3 linked regions of the Arabidopsis thaliana genome follow. The protein of the gene in region 2 purifies or fractionates together with the protein of the main gene of each other region. This does not show direct contact. Each region holds a gene or a part of one and is shown on either strand. Other genes may lie near its edges.

Region 1 (4,839 bases), on a different chromosome or scaffold from region 2:
GAATCAACTCTCACTTGGTTCAGTTTTGTTACAAAATTTTGTTTCCGTTTTTTTTTTTTCTGTGTAGGTGTCATCTCCAGGAGCGGAGAGGCTACTGAGAGTCCCAGAGGACTTGCCCCGATTCAAGGATATGCCAATGACAGTAAGCTATGTAGAAGAAACAAACTCGAGGAAAGCAGTAAAGAGTGGAGTGTTCCTCTTGGAGTCTATAGATGCAGAATCAGATAACTGTGTCTGGAAATTAGCAGATGTAAGGGAGAACAGAGATCCCGAAAGCAAAGGCAGACCGTTAAGCCGGAAACAAAAGGACTTGAGAATCACACTGCCTTTCGCAGATCACAAGAAGATAAATCTCTACTTGGATTAGTTAAGTAGACGTAGAAGTAGAGTTGCTATTAAAGTAAGTTCATCGTCACTGCAGTTTCACATTGCTGTTTCCGGATAATTTCAAGTGATTTTGTATTAGTTGAGATGGTGAGTGAGATATCAAAACATATGACAAAAATTCACACTACTAAGATGTTGTAAGATGTGAACAGGAAAAAAAAGCTGACTAACAGAAACATTATCAAATCTTATGAAAATCATAAACTACCATCTTCAAACATTGAGCCAACAAGCTCTAACTTCTTGTACTCCCTTTCCTCTACTGGTTTCATAACGTATGGACCATCTGGTTCATCATAAGGCTTTGAGGTTCTGTATTCCTTCTCTGTTATCGATCTTATACCGTTTGGATCTGATTCCACTTCATCTTCTTCTTCATCATCTTCTTCTTCTTCCATGTCATCCTTTGGAGGATATCCTCGGGTTTGTGCCAGCAACCATTGATCAATAATACCACACTCAATTGCATATCTCGCTGTGCGTTCCAGGTACCCTTTATTGTTCATAAGATCTGGCTGAACCGTAAGCATTCTTATTAGACCTGAAATAGAGAGTAGTGTGGTTCAGTTAATCGCAAGCATAACTTCCAAATTGCTATGAAAAACAAATGACACAAGTGAAAATGTACCTGCAACGATGCCATCTCCAGATGCTGACATATCCCTTGTAAAAGGAGTAATGGGAACATCCTCCATTCCGGAAACAGCACCATTGTGCTCTTTGGTATAGTAATGGATCTTAGAAGTGCCATTGGTCACAAACAAGACCTTGAGATTTTCATGCCAAAGCTGTTCCACAGTTTCTGGCGGGTAATGGACAAACTTACTGATGTCATTGTTTTCTGTATCGAACTCTTCAGTAGGCTCGATTCCGCATAAGAATTCAAGTTCCTGTTTTGTGATTTCAATGACGTCTGCAAGATTCCACACTTCCTGTATGAAAGACTTGGTTTCTTCGCTGGAGTGCCATAGTGGTAAAGGGAGATTCAAGTCATAAAAAATGACATTGCCTAGTTGCTTTGATATCTTGATGGCTTGTATCGTAGTTGACATCATCTTCTTATCGAGTAGAGAATGCGTGCTGAAGTAGAACATTTTCGCCTGCACCAAAGTTAAGAGATTGGTGAACAAGAAAAAGAGCCAAAAACTCAATGTTCCAAATCTCCAGGACAATATATTACCTCTTTGAGCACATCAACGTTGATTTCAGATTTTGAAAGTGAATCCTCTGCACATGGCTTAATACAAGTCGATTTCAAGCGACCTCTCTTGCTGATCTTCATAGTAGAACACGCCGTAACCCTTTTACCATCAATCTTAACTGATCTAGTTTGGACTTTGCACACATTCAGATAATACAACATGGCTTGACCATAGTCATCAGCCCCAAGTTTGCCCATAAAAGCAACCTTACCACCCAAGCTTGCAAGAGCAATAGCAACACCTCCTGCACATCCTCCAGGAGCCCGGATATACTTCTCTGGAGCCCACTTTGCATCTCTCATCCGTTCGTGTAGTTCATAATCTAATAGCCTGTTTGCTGGCCTTCCCGAAGGCACAAAAGCATGTTGTGCAGATCCAAAGCAACACACGAGAGGAGGCCATCCATAAGTGTGACTAATATCTTCACCTTCATGTTTACTCAGATCAATCTCTTCTTCTTCACTCTCTGTATCAGTGCTTTCAACAGCCAATGCTTCCTCGACATCACTAACCTCAGCATCCATAATAGTAGCTAAATCATCCTCCACATCTTTATCTTTCTTAACAGTCCTCTTTCGTCTCACTTTCTTCTCGGTTTTTACTTCCTCCACATCAGAAGAAGCTGCTGCAGCTGTATATATGTCGAATTCAAATTAAGTACTCGTGAATCATCAAGTGAGAACCATCAGCTCAGAAATGGTAAAAGTCATTACCTTTCTTTCTAGTTCTTGTCTTTTTTGGTTTCAAAGCTGAGACAATGCTTTCCTTGTCTAAAACATCATCATTATCAACCAAAAATTCAGAAATTTCTTCTAATGGTTCATCCTTAACCACAACCTTCTTCTTCGTTGTTCTCTTAACACTTTTAGATGGTTTCTTTCCCACAACCGCACCGTTTCCATCATTACCTTCTTCTTCAAGAGGTGCTGACTCTGATAACTTTCTCCTACCAGCAGCCATAGAAAAGCTTTGTTTCCCATTCCATCTTTCACCTCTAAACTTCACAAAACCATGCGACTGGAGCAGACAAGGAACATCTGCATTGCATCTGCCAAAATCAAAGCACAGCTATGAGAAAACCATTACATCAAAATGTGAAATTTTCAAACAGAAAGACAAATATAGCCCTCAATTCAAATCATTGTTACTCCATTCTTCTGTAGAAAGATAAGATGAGCTAAACTTAAAGTTCGCACATTTTTGGGCAGTAAACTGGTTCTACGCCAAATCCATAGAAACCCATATACTAAAATTTCCTAAGGTTAGAAAACAAGAGAGAGAGAGAAGCAAAGGGACCTGGGGAATGATAAGAATTGGGTGAAGGAGAGAGACGCCATGAACATCAAATAAGAGCTCTTTTCCAAACGAAATTGTAGTAAAACTAAGCTCCGAAACCCATAAAGTCGAAAGAAGCGTAAACCCAGAAATGAACAAAGGAGAGCAATATGTTTATGAGTTTTGAGGGAGATTGGGGTTTAAGCTCTGAAACCGCAAGAGGAGCTAGCTGGGAGAGGATGAGGAGGAGGTTTAGCGCTTTAACGAAACGGCAAGCATTCTATGATCAAAATACTAAAACGTCAAGATGTCCCTATTCTGTCTACTATAATTTATTTACGGCTCATTTTTCTTCTTTAAAGCTAGTGAATTTAGTATTGTCTATATGACATTCTTTTAATGTAGGTAGAAATATTTGTTATGTAAAGTTTTTCGTGAAATCGTTTGCTATTAAAAAACTACTTCAAGGAAAATATTTTGTTGTGAAGTTAATTGGCTCATCATCACAAAGCTACAAAAAACTTACGATTAACTGAAATCATAATTACTATGATGATTTACGAGTAAATGATTTGATTGGCATAGAAATAATGCCTAAAGATGGTGTGATGAAAAACTTAATACAATTCTAACACGAGGATATATATATATATATATACTGTATATTTATTTATTTTTCGTCAAAAAATATAGACTGTATATATGTTATGGTAAAACGGCTATTTTTTGCTATATAGTGAAAATAATATCGTCTGGAGTTATAATAATTAGAATTTTGTATGGTTAATTAATTTCTATTGGTAATGTAACCATGAGTGCCTTGAGTGGAATGAAAGAAAATTGATGTAGTCAGAACAAATCTATGAAAATTTTGATATTTTTTAAAAATGGAATGAAATAGCTGGAGACTAACACACAATTTTCCATCATCTATCCAAATATATGTTTAAATGGTAAAAGATAGAATAGATAATGAAAAGAATTATGAGAGATTCACTACCAATTTCAAAATTATGAGAGATTCATTACCAATTTCAAAATCTCTCTAAAAACAAAGTTTTCTTCTCTTTTTTCTTTTCTTTTCTAGATCTTCATATCTAATTCAAAAGAGAAGCTGACTTTTGACGAGCGTGAAAGACAGAAGGTACTTGGATAACACAACAAGTTCAGAAAAAAAGTAGGTGAAAATTGGCTACCACCTTGCCTCTCTCATACATAAGTATTGTTTACTTCCTTGGTTCTTAAAATATTAGAACCCATTTTTTGTGTTTCTAATAATTGTTTCGTTGTTATCTAAGACTAAACTCATAGTTTTGTATACTTTAAGGTCAGATCGAAGCAGACAATACTGATATTTTGGAGGAACCTATTCTAAAATGGGTTCGTATCTTTTTCATCCGTTTCATTTTCGTTGAAAAAAACAGCGTTTACGTTTTGATACACTAATTTCTGTTAAGTATTGAATCATATTTCACCTTCGAAACATGTTTTGTATATGACTCAGATTTCACATCTTTGGAAACAACAACTTTCGAAGAAGTCGTGATAGCTTTGGGAAGCAATGTTGGAAACAGAATGAATAATTTCAAAGAAGCTTTACGATTGATGAAAGACTATGGGATCAGTGTAACCAGACACAGTTGTTTGTACGAAACAGAACCTGTTCATGTGACCGACCAACCAAGATTTCTCAACGCTGCAATAAGAGGTGTCACAAAGCTCAAACCTCATGAACTCTTGAACGTTCTCAAGAAAATTGAGAAAGAGATGGGTCGTGAAGAAAATGGTTTAAGGTATGGACCAAGACCACTTGACTTGGACATATTGTTCTATGGAAAGCACAAGATAATTTCTGATAAACTTATCATTCCCCATGAGAGAATCTGGGAAAGACCATTTGTTTTAGCACCTTTGGTAGATTTGCTTGGAACGGAAGATATTGATAATGATAAAATAGTTGCATATTGGCATTCAC
Region 2 (5,738 bases):
AGTCAACGGACGATTTAAACAGAATAATAAAATTGGGCCGAAGCTTATTAGCCTTTTAAGGCCCACAAAGAAGAGCGAAAACCCTTAACGAGCATATACAACTCGGAGCACCTCTTTTCTCTCGCTCTCTTCCTCTTCAAGGTTTATATTTATAACTTCTTTTGCTGCTCTCAACGAACTCTTCCAGGCTAATAAACCGTCTCTGTTTTCATCTTCTCCGTAGCTGAGATAGCTCCATACCCTCTCCGACCCAAGTAAACTGATTTTCCATGTTATGGAGATTTGGTTCTCTAACTTATTGCTTTAGAGTTTTGATGTCATTGTACAAGTTTAATGCTATTATTTTTGTGAATTAGGTACAACCTTGCAGAGTAGCTTTGGTAAGAGTTTGCCTTAAGAGTTTTGTCATCAAAGAGCACACATGGTGTGAAGTTTTTGGTATACACGGAGAGATGACAAGGGTTTTTGATATTCCAGGTACGAACGAGAAAGCCTTTTGATAGAAGTTGATGTTTTGGAGCCCAAACAGAAGAAACAAGAGAAACATTTAGGCGTATTTTGCGGTGTCAAGACTACCTTCTCTGACGACGATTGATAGAAAAAACAAAAAACGTCACGTTCCTAACGTTCAACGGTGTACTACAAGATCCCAAACGTCTGGCTAAGTTAATAAGAAACTGATTTTACTATCTCCGGGATAAGAAGAAATGAAAAAAAAAAACTATCAAATAGATCAAACCTAACAGACAAAAATTCAAATAAATCAACCTCGACAATTTCTTATTTTTACTTTCCTTTTAAACATCAGTCTGTCAAGACTTGAGTACCGTTAACAAGAGGTTGCTGTTCCGAGTAACCGATACTGCTCTCATCACTCAGAATGCTATAGTCAAAATCGTCAAAATCATCGTCATCCTCTTCTTCTTCCTCTGACTCTGTTTCTTCTTCTTGACTCGCCAAGGTAGACCCTTCTTTTCTTTTCTCTATTGTCTGCTTAATCGCATCATCGTAAGACATGTCATACCACACATTGCCTTTCCCAACAATGGATTTGTTGTGTGCATCCTTCATTCTCTCTTGCTTGCTAATCTCTGAGTTCTTTGGCTCTCCCCAGTAGTCATACTGATATAATGCACTTGTTGGATCGTACTGGTCTTTCCCAAAGAAGCTTCCTGGCTTGTACCTCCCTGGTTCCTCCAATGGTAAACCAAGTGCTTGCCGACTGCAAAATAAATCTTCTTCATCTAAACACTTTCTTTGAAAAACATCAAAGTGAACTTTTTTTTACTTACGAGCTGATATCTCTGAGCAATGCTTCTCTTTCCTCCAAAGATCGGCGCCAGTGTAAGAAATCATACTCGTCCATCTCTATATTTCGTCTGAGCTTGTCAATTTTGTATCCTTCTCCTCTTGCTTTAGCTTCCATCATTAGTTTATTGTGGTGCTGCACAAGACAACAGGAGAGTATTGAGTTATTAACCACTATCAGTATAAAAGATTCATACAACAATGTGTCAATTACAAAGTGCAAAGCCTTAAAATGGAACTGTGACGACAATCGGAGTTACCAAGACAGTGTGAAGTGGAAATCTATTAAAAATAAACAAATACAAACGAGAATATTTCCGTAGCAGTGGGTTAAAGGAAATTGGTGACGACAAGTAGGGAAGAGAATTTAAACCTGGCGCTCGGTCAATGCAGCCTCTAAGTCAAGTTCCTTGACACTGGTTTTCTGCCAGAAATAGAACACATTTAATCACAAAGCTTAAGACAGTATGGTTTCACGAACACACCAGAAGAAACTCTCACCAGAATCACTTTTGGCAATTTGGTTTTCTTATAATAAGCTTCGCCATACTCGATATCCTTTTGTTCATCAAAGTCTTCATCATCAGATAATTCTGATAGCTTTTTGCCTTCGTATTTTGCAGGGTTAGCTTCGTAATCACCCAAAATCATTTGCTCAGCTACATGTATCTGCCACAACTGCAAACGGGAAAGAAATGTGTTGACGGTTTCACAAAATTTAGAAAGCCAATAAACCTAATGAGTAAACAAAGCAAAAATCACATAACCAACCCTTTTGCTCAGGAAAATACCTTGTCGACATAAGGGTGATCAGAGAGCAGCCCTTCCTCCTCTGGCTTTGATCCTGGATCTTTTCTAGGTTCAGGAGGTCTTCCACAATCTCGCTGTACAAACAATGTATTAGATAAGAGGGAGACTCTTCACGAGAACACGAAATGGATTGATATTCTAGGAAAGGATTCTACTGACCCGTATCTCATCTGGATTAGTATCCCCATCACGATGGAATATTGGTGGGAAGTCAAATTTATTAAATCTGGAGCAGGAATGTAAAAACAGTCAACACATATACCATAACCAAGACCATTGAGGACAGAACCAAAATGCCAATTTTTACTGGATATGTAAAGAGAATTAAATACGTGTGAATTACATACATCATGTGATCTATGTTAGGATGGACGAAGCGCAACTCCAAGGGAAACCGAAACCGGTATGGATCTCTTTTTGCCTGAAAGAACAAAAGAAAAAGGAGAATGAAGCAATTTCCATTCAGATTTTTATAAATGCGAAAGAAGAATATGTGCCTTAAGATTACCGTGATTTCAACGATAACATGCATCCCAACTTTTATGAAATGCCGGATCCAAAACCAGTCATTACCTTTTATAGGTACCCATCTGCAAACCAATAGACACATAAACTTACATCTTTCAAAAAAAGCATATGAAACAAGAGACAACATTATATTACGTTATATACCCTAAATACAAGAACCACGGTAAGTCTATCTTTACAAAGTAAAGAGACATAAACATACCCTTCATGAACACCTCCAATGTCAACAAACGCTCCCTGATACAGATGTAAAGTGGTAACTGTGCCTTCACAAACCTGCATGGACATTACGATATTGCTCATTTAAACCAATCATTAGTTACAATATACAAGGCTTAGAATAAGAATTCTTACCATCCCTGGATAGTAAAAGGGAAGCTCATACTGCACAAAGAAAAATAAAGCAATTAACTTACAAACAGTTCATCATCTAGCAAACTAATCAAACAATCAAATCCAGTAGCATAATAATATTTACCATCCCATCTTCGTAATCCTTCCCTCTTTTCCTCCTACCCGGATAAAAATCCTGATCGAGCTGTATAAATAAAAACATCATCTTTATTAGAATCCTTCTCTTAGCCACCACTAAGCTAACAATATCTCATTGTTCAAAAAAAAAAACGAACCTTGTAAGATTCTTCCTCCAACCTATCTTTATTATCTTCAACCCATTCCTTGTATTGTTTCAAGAAAACCTTAAACCTCTCCAAACACATCTTATCAACAGTAGCATCTTCACCAACTCTCAAATCCTTATCCAAATCCTCAAGCCAAACTCTTTCAGCCATTAACTTATGAGCTTCCCTAATAAACTCCAGCTCCTTCCTATCAACTTCCCAACCTCTGGGAGGCCAATCACGCGGCGGAATTTGCCTAAGAACCATCGGACCAGCCCAAGATGTTTCTAAAGGAGGTGGTTTATCACCTCTAATCTCAAATTGCTTTGCATACCATTCGTCTTCTGTTATCCCCATCTCCTTAATCTTCTTCTTCCTATACGATGGTCTCAGCATCTTAAACGCTTCGATCGCTTCCGGCGATTGAAGCGGAACTTCTTCACCTTCGTTGAGAGATTTACGAGCGAAATCAGCTTCTGGTGTGAGAATCTCTTCCCATGGAGCCCAACCACGTTCGATCCAGTTACGTCGTCGAGCTTCATCTTCTGTGTCTTTGTCCTTTGGTCCGAATTTCTCGAGGAAGGTTTCGTCGACTGGGAATTCATCGGAGCTGAATCCACGACAAGGCAGCAAGGATATGCGACGAGGCGGTGACCATTGAAGAGCTTTGGGTTTGCAGAAATTAGGGTTTGTGGGATTAGGGAAAGTGAAATTGAGCTTGGTTTGGCAAATCTGCATGATTCATTCGTCACTCTTCAGGGTTTTTGAAGGTTTAAGAGAGAGTGAAGAAGTTGAGTATGGATAAGCTTTATTTCATTTTACAGTGAAGAAGAAATGTTAAGTTTTTTTTGATGAACCCTTATATTTATCCAATATATTGTTTTGACCCCAAATGTTTTTGATTGATCAGTTAGACCCATTTTAATATAAGGTTTAGACGTTTAGTTATGGATGAACCCCTACATGACCAGTACTATCAACACCGTTGGTTAAAGATCATAAAGCTTGTTTAGGCTAAAGTAATAAACACATGATTGAGAGATGTTTTGATACAGGCATCTATATAGACTCCTTACTAACAATGTAGTTAAATTGTACATAATCAAAGTACAACACACATGAACTTGGGATACATTTGTTTACAAATCATTCCTGAGTCTCTGTCTTCATGTTTCGTGCTTGAGCTTGATTCTTGTACTTGCTAAACATGGATAGTACTGATGGGTTCTTGCTCTTTATCTGTTTCGAGCTTTCACACGAGTCTATAGCCATTGCATCATGAGTGTCTCCTAATTGTGTATCCGAAGACAAGACATGAGACGATGATGTTGATGACAGATTCTCTTCACCTTCTGTTTCTGATGAAGTAGTGTCCTGTCTTGTTGACCCTTGCTTAAGTTTCAACAGTGTTGACTCTACAATGCCATCAAAAGAAACCAAGGATTTCAAAACCTAGAGATTTCTATTGGACAATCAGAATCACATGAAAATGGAAAGAGTGTGTATTTATTATACCGTAGACGGAGAGAGGATCGTCTTTGATGATCTTCGCCGGATATCTCTCCAGACAATCCGGCGGCGACGGCGGTGGTCTCAGCCTCCCAAACATACGTCTCTCTCTCTCTCTCTCGAGTCAATTAGATCTGATCGTCTTCTTTGAATTGACAATCTGAAAGATGACAACATATAATCGATTCTTTGTGTTTTGGCGCCTCGATCGATAAAAAAGAGCGGGAACCTGAGACCAACAACGGCCCAAATAAATGCTGTTATAATGGGCCCTTCGCTCTTATTATGATTTTATCATTAATCACGTTTTTCATTATTATAAACCAAAAAAACTTTTTATATAAAATAACTAAAATAGATAAAATTTCCATCAAATCTAGTATTAATAGAGAAAATATATTAAACGTAAATATTGTTTAGGATATTAACTTTTTATTTATGAACTTGTTTTAGGATAATTGATTATTTCAGAAAATTACAATACTAAATAGCATGAAAAGATATAATTTGATCAAATCTCTTACTGTTTATTATGTACACATATATTAAATTTATAATCTACTTTTTTTTTACATACCATTATGTTACGTAGATTTATCAGCAAAAGCTAGATATTATTGAGAAATAAATTTATGTGAAATTCAGTATTTAAATACACCTTAGTAAATCCCAATAACACATATGAATAAGAATATGTTTCTTCACAGATGATCTATGGACAATTATACTTGCACAATTACCACTAAAAATGATCACGACTTCTAAACTGGTTTGTAAGCAGTGGAAATCTATTATCGAGTCTCCACATTTTCGTGTCATGTTCATGTCTCTGCACCATTCTTCTTCATGGTCGCTCATGTGTAGGCGTTACAAGATAGAACTTGTGGCTCATCATAGATGCAACACTTGGGGATTTAATCGTACCAGTACTCTTACATCTCGTCTTTTATGACCGATAAATTC
Region 3 (5,745 bases), on a different chromosome or scaffold from region 2:
GAAGAGAAGCGAGAGAGAGAGAAGAGTGAAACACGGAAGAGATTAAAATAGTTTAAATAAATAAAAATAAATAGGGAGATATTCTTAGAAAATATATTGGGAATATTTTAATTTTATCTGATATCATTGTTGGATCTGTGGAAAGTGACGTAAGCGAGAAGGAAGTAGAGTGAAGGAACTTTGAAAACGACGGCGTTAGGTCGAGCTATTGGACCGGGTTTTGGCGTTTCTTCTGATTCAACCGGTTTAGCTAAACTGGTTCTGGATCTATCACAATCTTGTCGAAATTTGTATTAAACAAAACGATTAATGAATTGACGTTTGTTGCGACATTTAGGACAATTTCCTCGGACATAACATGTTTTCTATCTCTAAGCAAATTATTATTTATTTGGTTTTATATTTTGATTAGATTGGTTTTGGTGGAGTGGTCCCAAAAATACGAATGGATATTGGGAAATCTTTTAATTTATAACCAGAATATAAAATTCAAAGTATGCTTAATAGTTTCAAAAGACTATATTCCCTAGCACCATTGCCAAACATTCGTAATTTATGTTCTTGTCACAATATATCACAAGGCCTAATCTTATTATTGTTCAATCATGTCTTCCTACTTTCTCAATTTTTCATATTAAGAAATTGAAACCGTATTTTCATCGTTTTCTTTTTTCTTTGAATTCACTTTTTTCAAGTTTGGATACATGTAAGAAAATAAATAATTTAAACCGGAATCTATTTTTGTTGGTTCGGTTTGAATTGGTTCATCTAAATTAAACACATGCTATCAAAACATACCCAAAACAGAACCACTTACATTTTTGGGTTTTTAACCCTTACAAAATTTGTACGCATCTTCTTCCACCTTTAAAATCTTCCTCCTGCGGTAACAATGACAGAAAATCTGAATTAAGTTTAGTCTAATATTACATTTCGATAGCTTAGGTTTCCTCTTGTCCAAAAAAACAGGTGAAGTGAGCAATGGAATAACTTTAAGGTAATGGTGATTGGAACGTTAAGTACCTCCCAGTGGTGTAATCTCTTTTCCTTGGGCATGATTTTTATGTCACTTGTGTAGAATTCATTACCTCTGTGCAAATCGATCTTCGCAAGAGAATTGGACCATGGTGGAAGAAAATCTGGTTTCATGGACTAAGCTAACTTCTCTTCTAATGATTTCACCACAGAGATATTAATGACTCTCTGGTAACCTGCAGAAGCACAGTAATACAAGGAAGAACAGATTAGTGATCGTGAAGCATCTTGACAAGTTTCAGCAACTCTTCACAGATTAGAAACTTTGGTTATCGTTGGTTGTTTTAGCTGTTACGGTTCTACTTACCGCCATGGGAACTCGCTTGTGTCTATTCCAGCTTGGTGAAGCTCATCAACGTATTGTAATGCTTCCCGACATTCCTCTCTGTCATCATAAAACTCTTTCTTTTCACCTTCAAGCTGATACGCTTCATGCCCTTTCCCAGCTACAACCTGCAAAAATCAGTGTCAAGCAAAGCTATTTACCCGAGAACTATATTACTTTGATTGCTCATAAAGGTAAATCCAGCAACTTTGATAACACACTCAGTAAAGTACTGTATAGAGTGTGGGTTTATTTGAATACTTACAACCATATCACCTTCTTCACCCATAGCAACAGCACAACGTACAGCTACACGTCTAATATCGTGAAGGAAGAGTCTATGACCATTTGCCAAAGGCGGATAGTAATCGTGTTCGCCATGTTTCAAATACTCTTGCATCGTCCATCCAATCCCAGACAACATGTCATCCAAGATGTCCACTAAAACCACATTGGAAAATTAACTGTTAATATACCTCCAGAAACACTCAAGGGAGATAGACTCAATCTAATTCTTAGAGTTACTTACATGGATCTTCATTCCTCGGATTATCAGATGTCAACATCGTCACATCGCTCTTTTCAGTAGCAATTTTCGTCATAAGCGGTCTTTTCCCTCTTTCATTCTCACCCTCACAACCAATAACTTCAATAAATAAATAAAACAACTAAAATAATCAGATGACCACACATATAAAGACCATAGGAACGGCCGAACAGGCAAAGAGTATCTATTAGATGGAAGAAAATATCTATACCGGTAATGATTCTTCTCGGTTTAAGCTCTCGAATTGAATCTAGCAGCCTTGACAAGCCATCAGGTGTGTTTGCATGATCCACAATAACACCAAAAGCTTGTTCCTCATCAATCAACTCACACCTTCCTGGGACTGCATCGACTTCCTCAACACCTCTAACAATATCCTCAAGAGGAGCTCCAACAGCAATCCCAACAGCCACAGCAGCAAGAATATTATAAATGTTATGCCGTCCTAACAAACCCGAAGAGATCTCCAGTATACCTTGAGGGGTATTAACCAAAACCTGTGTCTCAAACAAGGAAAGCTCAAACTTTAACGGGTGAACATCGGCTTTGGTGTTTTCCATGGCAAATGTCACAACAGGAACATTAGGATTCCCTTGCTGGACAAAGAATGCTGCGTTTGGATCATCTATGTTAACCACTTTCCTATGCCTTTCCGGATCAACCATTCTTGAAAACAACTTGGCTTCAGCATCTCTATACTCTTCATCAGTACCACGAAAATCCGTATTTTCTCTAGTCAAATTTGTGAAAACCGCAATGTCGAAATCCACTTCATCACATTTCCCTAAAGCAAGTTCTTGAGGAGAAGCTTCCATAACCAAAGATTCAGTTCCATTATGCAACATCTTAGCCATCAAACTCTGAACCAAAACAGCATCAGGATTCATCGTAGCATTAGGCGTATCCAATTTGTTATCGCCATGAATATAACAAGAAACTGTGCTAAACATTCCTGTTCTCACACCCATCGCTTCATAGAGGCTCTTAATCAAATACGTAGTAGTCGTTTTCCCATCCGTACCAGTAACTCCAATCACCGACATGTTCTTCGAGGGATGCCTATAAAAGGAAGAAGCTAAAGCTGCTAAAACTGCATTCGTATCTTCAACAATGACAAGTGCTCTGCAACCTAAAGTATCTTCAATATCAATCTCTTTGCTAGCTACAACCGCCACTGCTCCTCTCTTATCTGCTTCACTCAAGAAATTTTCACTTCCTAAACAACACACGAAGAGATCTCCGGCGCTCACACCGCGCGAATCATGTTGAATCCCGGTGATTTCGACATCTAAATCGCCGTAAACTGAGATTGGTACCACTTTACTCTCATCTAAAAGCTCAGCTAAGCACATTTTGAACTTAGGTTCCACGATTCTCGCTTTAGATTCACCAAAATCATCCAAATCGAATTCAAATTGATGATCAGACCCAAACTCCTTCTTCTTGTTGATCCTAGTGTTACCTTCCTCATCAACCCAATCTTCTTCATCAGAAATCTCTGTTAATCCAGTTAATTTATCAATTTCATCCAAATCAACAACTTCTTCTTCATCAAGCTCATCAACATCGTCAGTAACATCACCTTCTTCCTCATTTCCCTCCTCCCCAATCTTCTTAAGCGATGCCGTTTTGGGAGGATTAGGTTTGAGCAATCCTTGCTTAACAAACTCACTACGTTTCATGGAGATTGCTCTATCGATATCAGAGAACAAGTCTCCACCAGATTCTTCGTCATCTCGTCCCGTCTCCGCCGCGTCTTCCACATCGGCGATAGCGGAGAGATAAGTGTTCCGATTCTTCTCGAAATCTTCTTCCTCTAGCTTCCGTGCACGAGCAGCTTGACGCTGGATCTGCTGAAACTTCGAAACTCCGTGCATTGAATCCTCCGGTGCTTCAGGTGGATCGTCATCAGCAGGGTTCGGGTACGAATTCCGGCGAGCAGGTCCCGCCGCAACCGTGAGAGTACGGGAATTTCGAGAGAATGGTAAGAGAACTGGTTTGTAGGAGAAGGAAGAGGTTGTTCCAGTTAGAGAGAGAAAGACTGGGTGAGGAGAGAGAAAGGTGAACGCCATTGGAGACAGAGAGACTGAGAAAGCAAGCAGTGAAAGGTTTTTTCCAGGGGATAAGAGTTGGGTTTTTTCATTTTTGGGTTACAAACGATGCGTTTAAAGAAATCAAAGACGCCGATAAAACGGTGCAGTGTGTACTAAAAACGATTAAAAGATATGTACAGGAGAAACTCTATAAATTAATAATGATTGGACTATAAATTTTTATTAATTTATAATAATATTAATTTATTTTATAAATTAATAAATAGTAATTAATAGAATATTAACGTAAAACACAATACTAAATTATTTTAAAAATGCTTTTCCGATTTAGTATTTTTCTCATATTTTGTTATTTGTATATTCAATTATGTTAGATCTTTAATTTTATTTTTGATATTTTAAATTTATTTTTCTGCAAGATATAGTGTCTCTATATCTACGACGTTAACGTGGAGGTTAAATCAATTTTTCTTTACAAAAATCTTAGCAATGGTTTTTCATAGAAAAAATGTTACAAAACCAAATATGACGGATCAAATACGCAAAGAATTATGTGAGTATAAAAGAGATCATACCAACTCTATTCTAAAAAGAGTTGCAATTGTAGCTTGAATAAAAGTTTCATATAAAATTAGTCTTAGAATGTATGCTTAAGATTTATGATTATTAATTTATGATATTATTGGGACTATATTTTTACATAGGGGTTTCAAAAAATTATTATTTTATTATCTTATCGATTTTCGTTAATTTTTACATTGGCCCGACTTCGACCGGCAAAATTTATTAATTTATCGTGTTTATTAATTTATCGAGTATTAATTTATAGGGTTTCTAATGTATATTACAAAGTGTGTAGTGAAAGGATGGGCTTCTAAGGCAGTCTCATGGCCCATAATATTAGCCCACTATCTTTTTTTCGTTACAGAGAAATATTTTTGTTTGATGAGTAGACAAAATTGCTTAATGATTGCTAATTTGCTATGTTGTTGCAGAGAACCAAACAAACGTTTTATTTGAATTGTTTATAGAAGAAAAAGATTGATGGCTCTTGGTTTTCTGACATAAGAGGTTGATTTTATTTCTTGATTTTGTAAAAAGCTAATGGTTTTATCTATAGTTGGCCGAAGTTTAGATTCTAATTGGCATTGAGTAACTAAAGTCCAACTTCTAATGTTAGACTTTCTAACGCCCTAGTAGAGAAATGGGTGTAAAAGAGATGGAATTGCATCCAAAATTTCATGATTTTTGATATTATATTATCTGCTATGCATACAAATCTGTCCCGCCATGTACATGATCATTAAGAGCCTAAGTTATATTAAGTTTTTTTGCACTAAAGTCAGTTAGTAGTATAACGTAGTTTTGTATTTGTTTTTCTCTTATTTGGAGAGCCGTATTTTGGTCGTTGATAGAAGACGATAAAACCACATGGCCACTTTAATTTGGAACGTGGACCGACCACCGCCATGTACAGTTGAGTTGGTTTAATACACCCTTTGTGGTCCCTTCGTCTTGGGCCTCACTTCTACACTTTCTTCAGCCCATTTTCATAACACGTGACCTACACATGCTATAATGTACATGATTTAATTATTTATCTCTTAATTGTGTTTTCTTTAAAAAAGAAGAAGATATAATTCTCTTTATTTTCTCTTGATCTTATGAAAAAAAATGTATGGAAAACTTGATAGACATTCATCATTTATAATGTAACACTTCACACTGGATATTTTAACAAATACAACTACGCTTTATCGTTCTCACTATGAAATATATCATCT

The links.
Region 1: the proteins of PDE312 (region 2) and FLN2 fractionate together in Arabidopsis thaliana (co-fractionation; one large-scale study listed by BioGRID). This does not show direct contact.
Region 3: the proteins of PDE312 (region 2) and MURE fractionate together in Arabidopsis thaliana (co-fractionation; one large-scale study listed by BioGRID). This does not show direct contact.

What each region holds. Positions count from the first base shown.
Region 1 is NC_003070.9:26,014,111-26,018,949, reverse strand, and holds FLN2 (fructokinase-like protein), read right to left. Parts: upstream 2,927-4,839; coding exon 2,886-2,926; intron 2,638-2,885; coding exon 2,303-2,637; intron 2,221-2,302; coding exon 1,568-2,220; intron 1,488-1,567; coding exon 1,016-1,487; intron 929-1,015; coding exon 585-928; downstream 1-584. Other genes in the region: AT1G69210 (Uncharacterized protein family UPF0090), read left to right, coding at 68-367; AT1G69190 (Dihydropterin pyrophosphokinase / Dihydropteroate synthase), read left to right, coding at 4,241-4,244, 4,369-4,839. UniProt on the Arabidopsis thaliana protein: Required for proper chloroplast development, most likely through regulating plastid-encoded polymerase (PEP) dependent chloroplast transcription.
Region 2 is NC_003074.8:17,960,475-17,966,212, reverse strand, and holds PDE312 (Nucleic acid-binding, OB-fold-like protein), read right to left. Parts: upstream 4,051-5,738; 5' UTR 4,005-4,050; coding exon 3,276-4,004; intron 3,185-3,275; coding exon 3,125-3,184; intron 3,031-3,124; coding exon 3,001-3,030; intron 2,923-3,000; coding exon 2,849-2,922; intron 2,709-2,848; coding exon 2,466-2,708; intron 2,345-2,465; coding exon 2,278-2,344; intron 2,193-2,277; coding exon 2,100-2,192; intron 1,987-2,099; coding exon 1,810-1,986; intron 1,733-1,809; coding exon 1,682-1,732; intron 1,445-1,681; coding exon 1,293-1,444; intron 1,223-1,292; coding exon 805-1,222; 3' UTR 600-804; downstream 1-599. Other genes in the region: AT3G48490 (uncharacterized protein), read right to left, coding at 4,413-4,681, 4,782-4,875.
Region 3 is NC_003070.9:23,612,695-23,618,439, reverse strand, and holds MURE (ALBINO OR PALE-GREEN 13), read right to left. Parts: upstream 4,101-5,745; 5' UTR 3,980-4,100; coding exon 2,119-3,979; intron 2,007-2,118; coding exon 1,890-2,006; intron 1,802-1,889; coding exon 1,626-1,801; intron 1,489-1,625; coding exon 1,343-1,488; intron 1,212-1,342; coding exon 1,193-1,211; 3' UTR 1,024-1,192; exon of another isoform or gene 882-1,023; 3' UTR 528-881; downstream 1-527. UniProt on the Arabidopsis thaliana protein: Involved in chloroplast biogenesis. Required for thylakoid membrane development. Seems to be required for plastid-encoded plastid RNA polymerase (PEP)-dependent gene expression.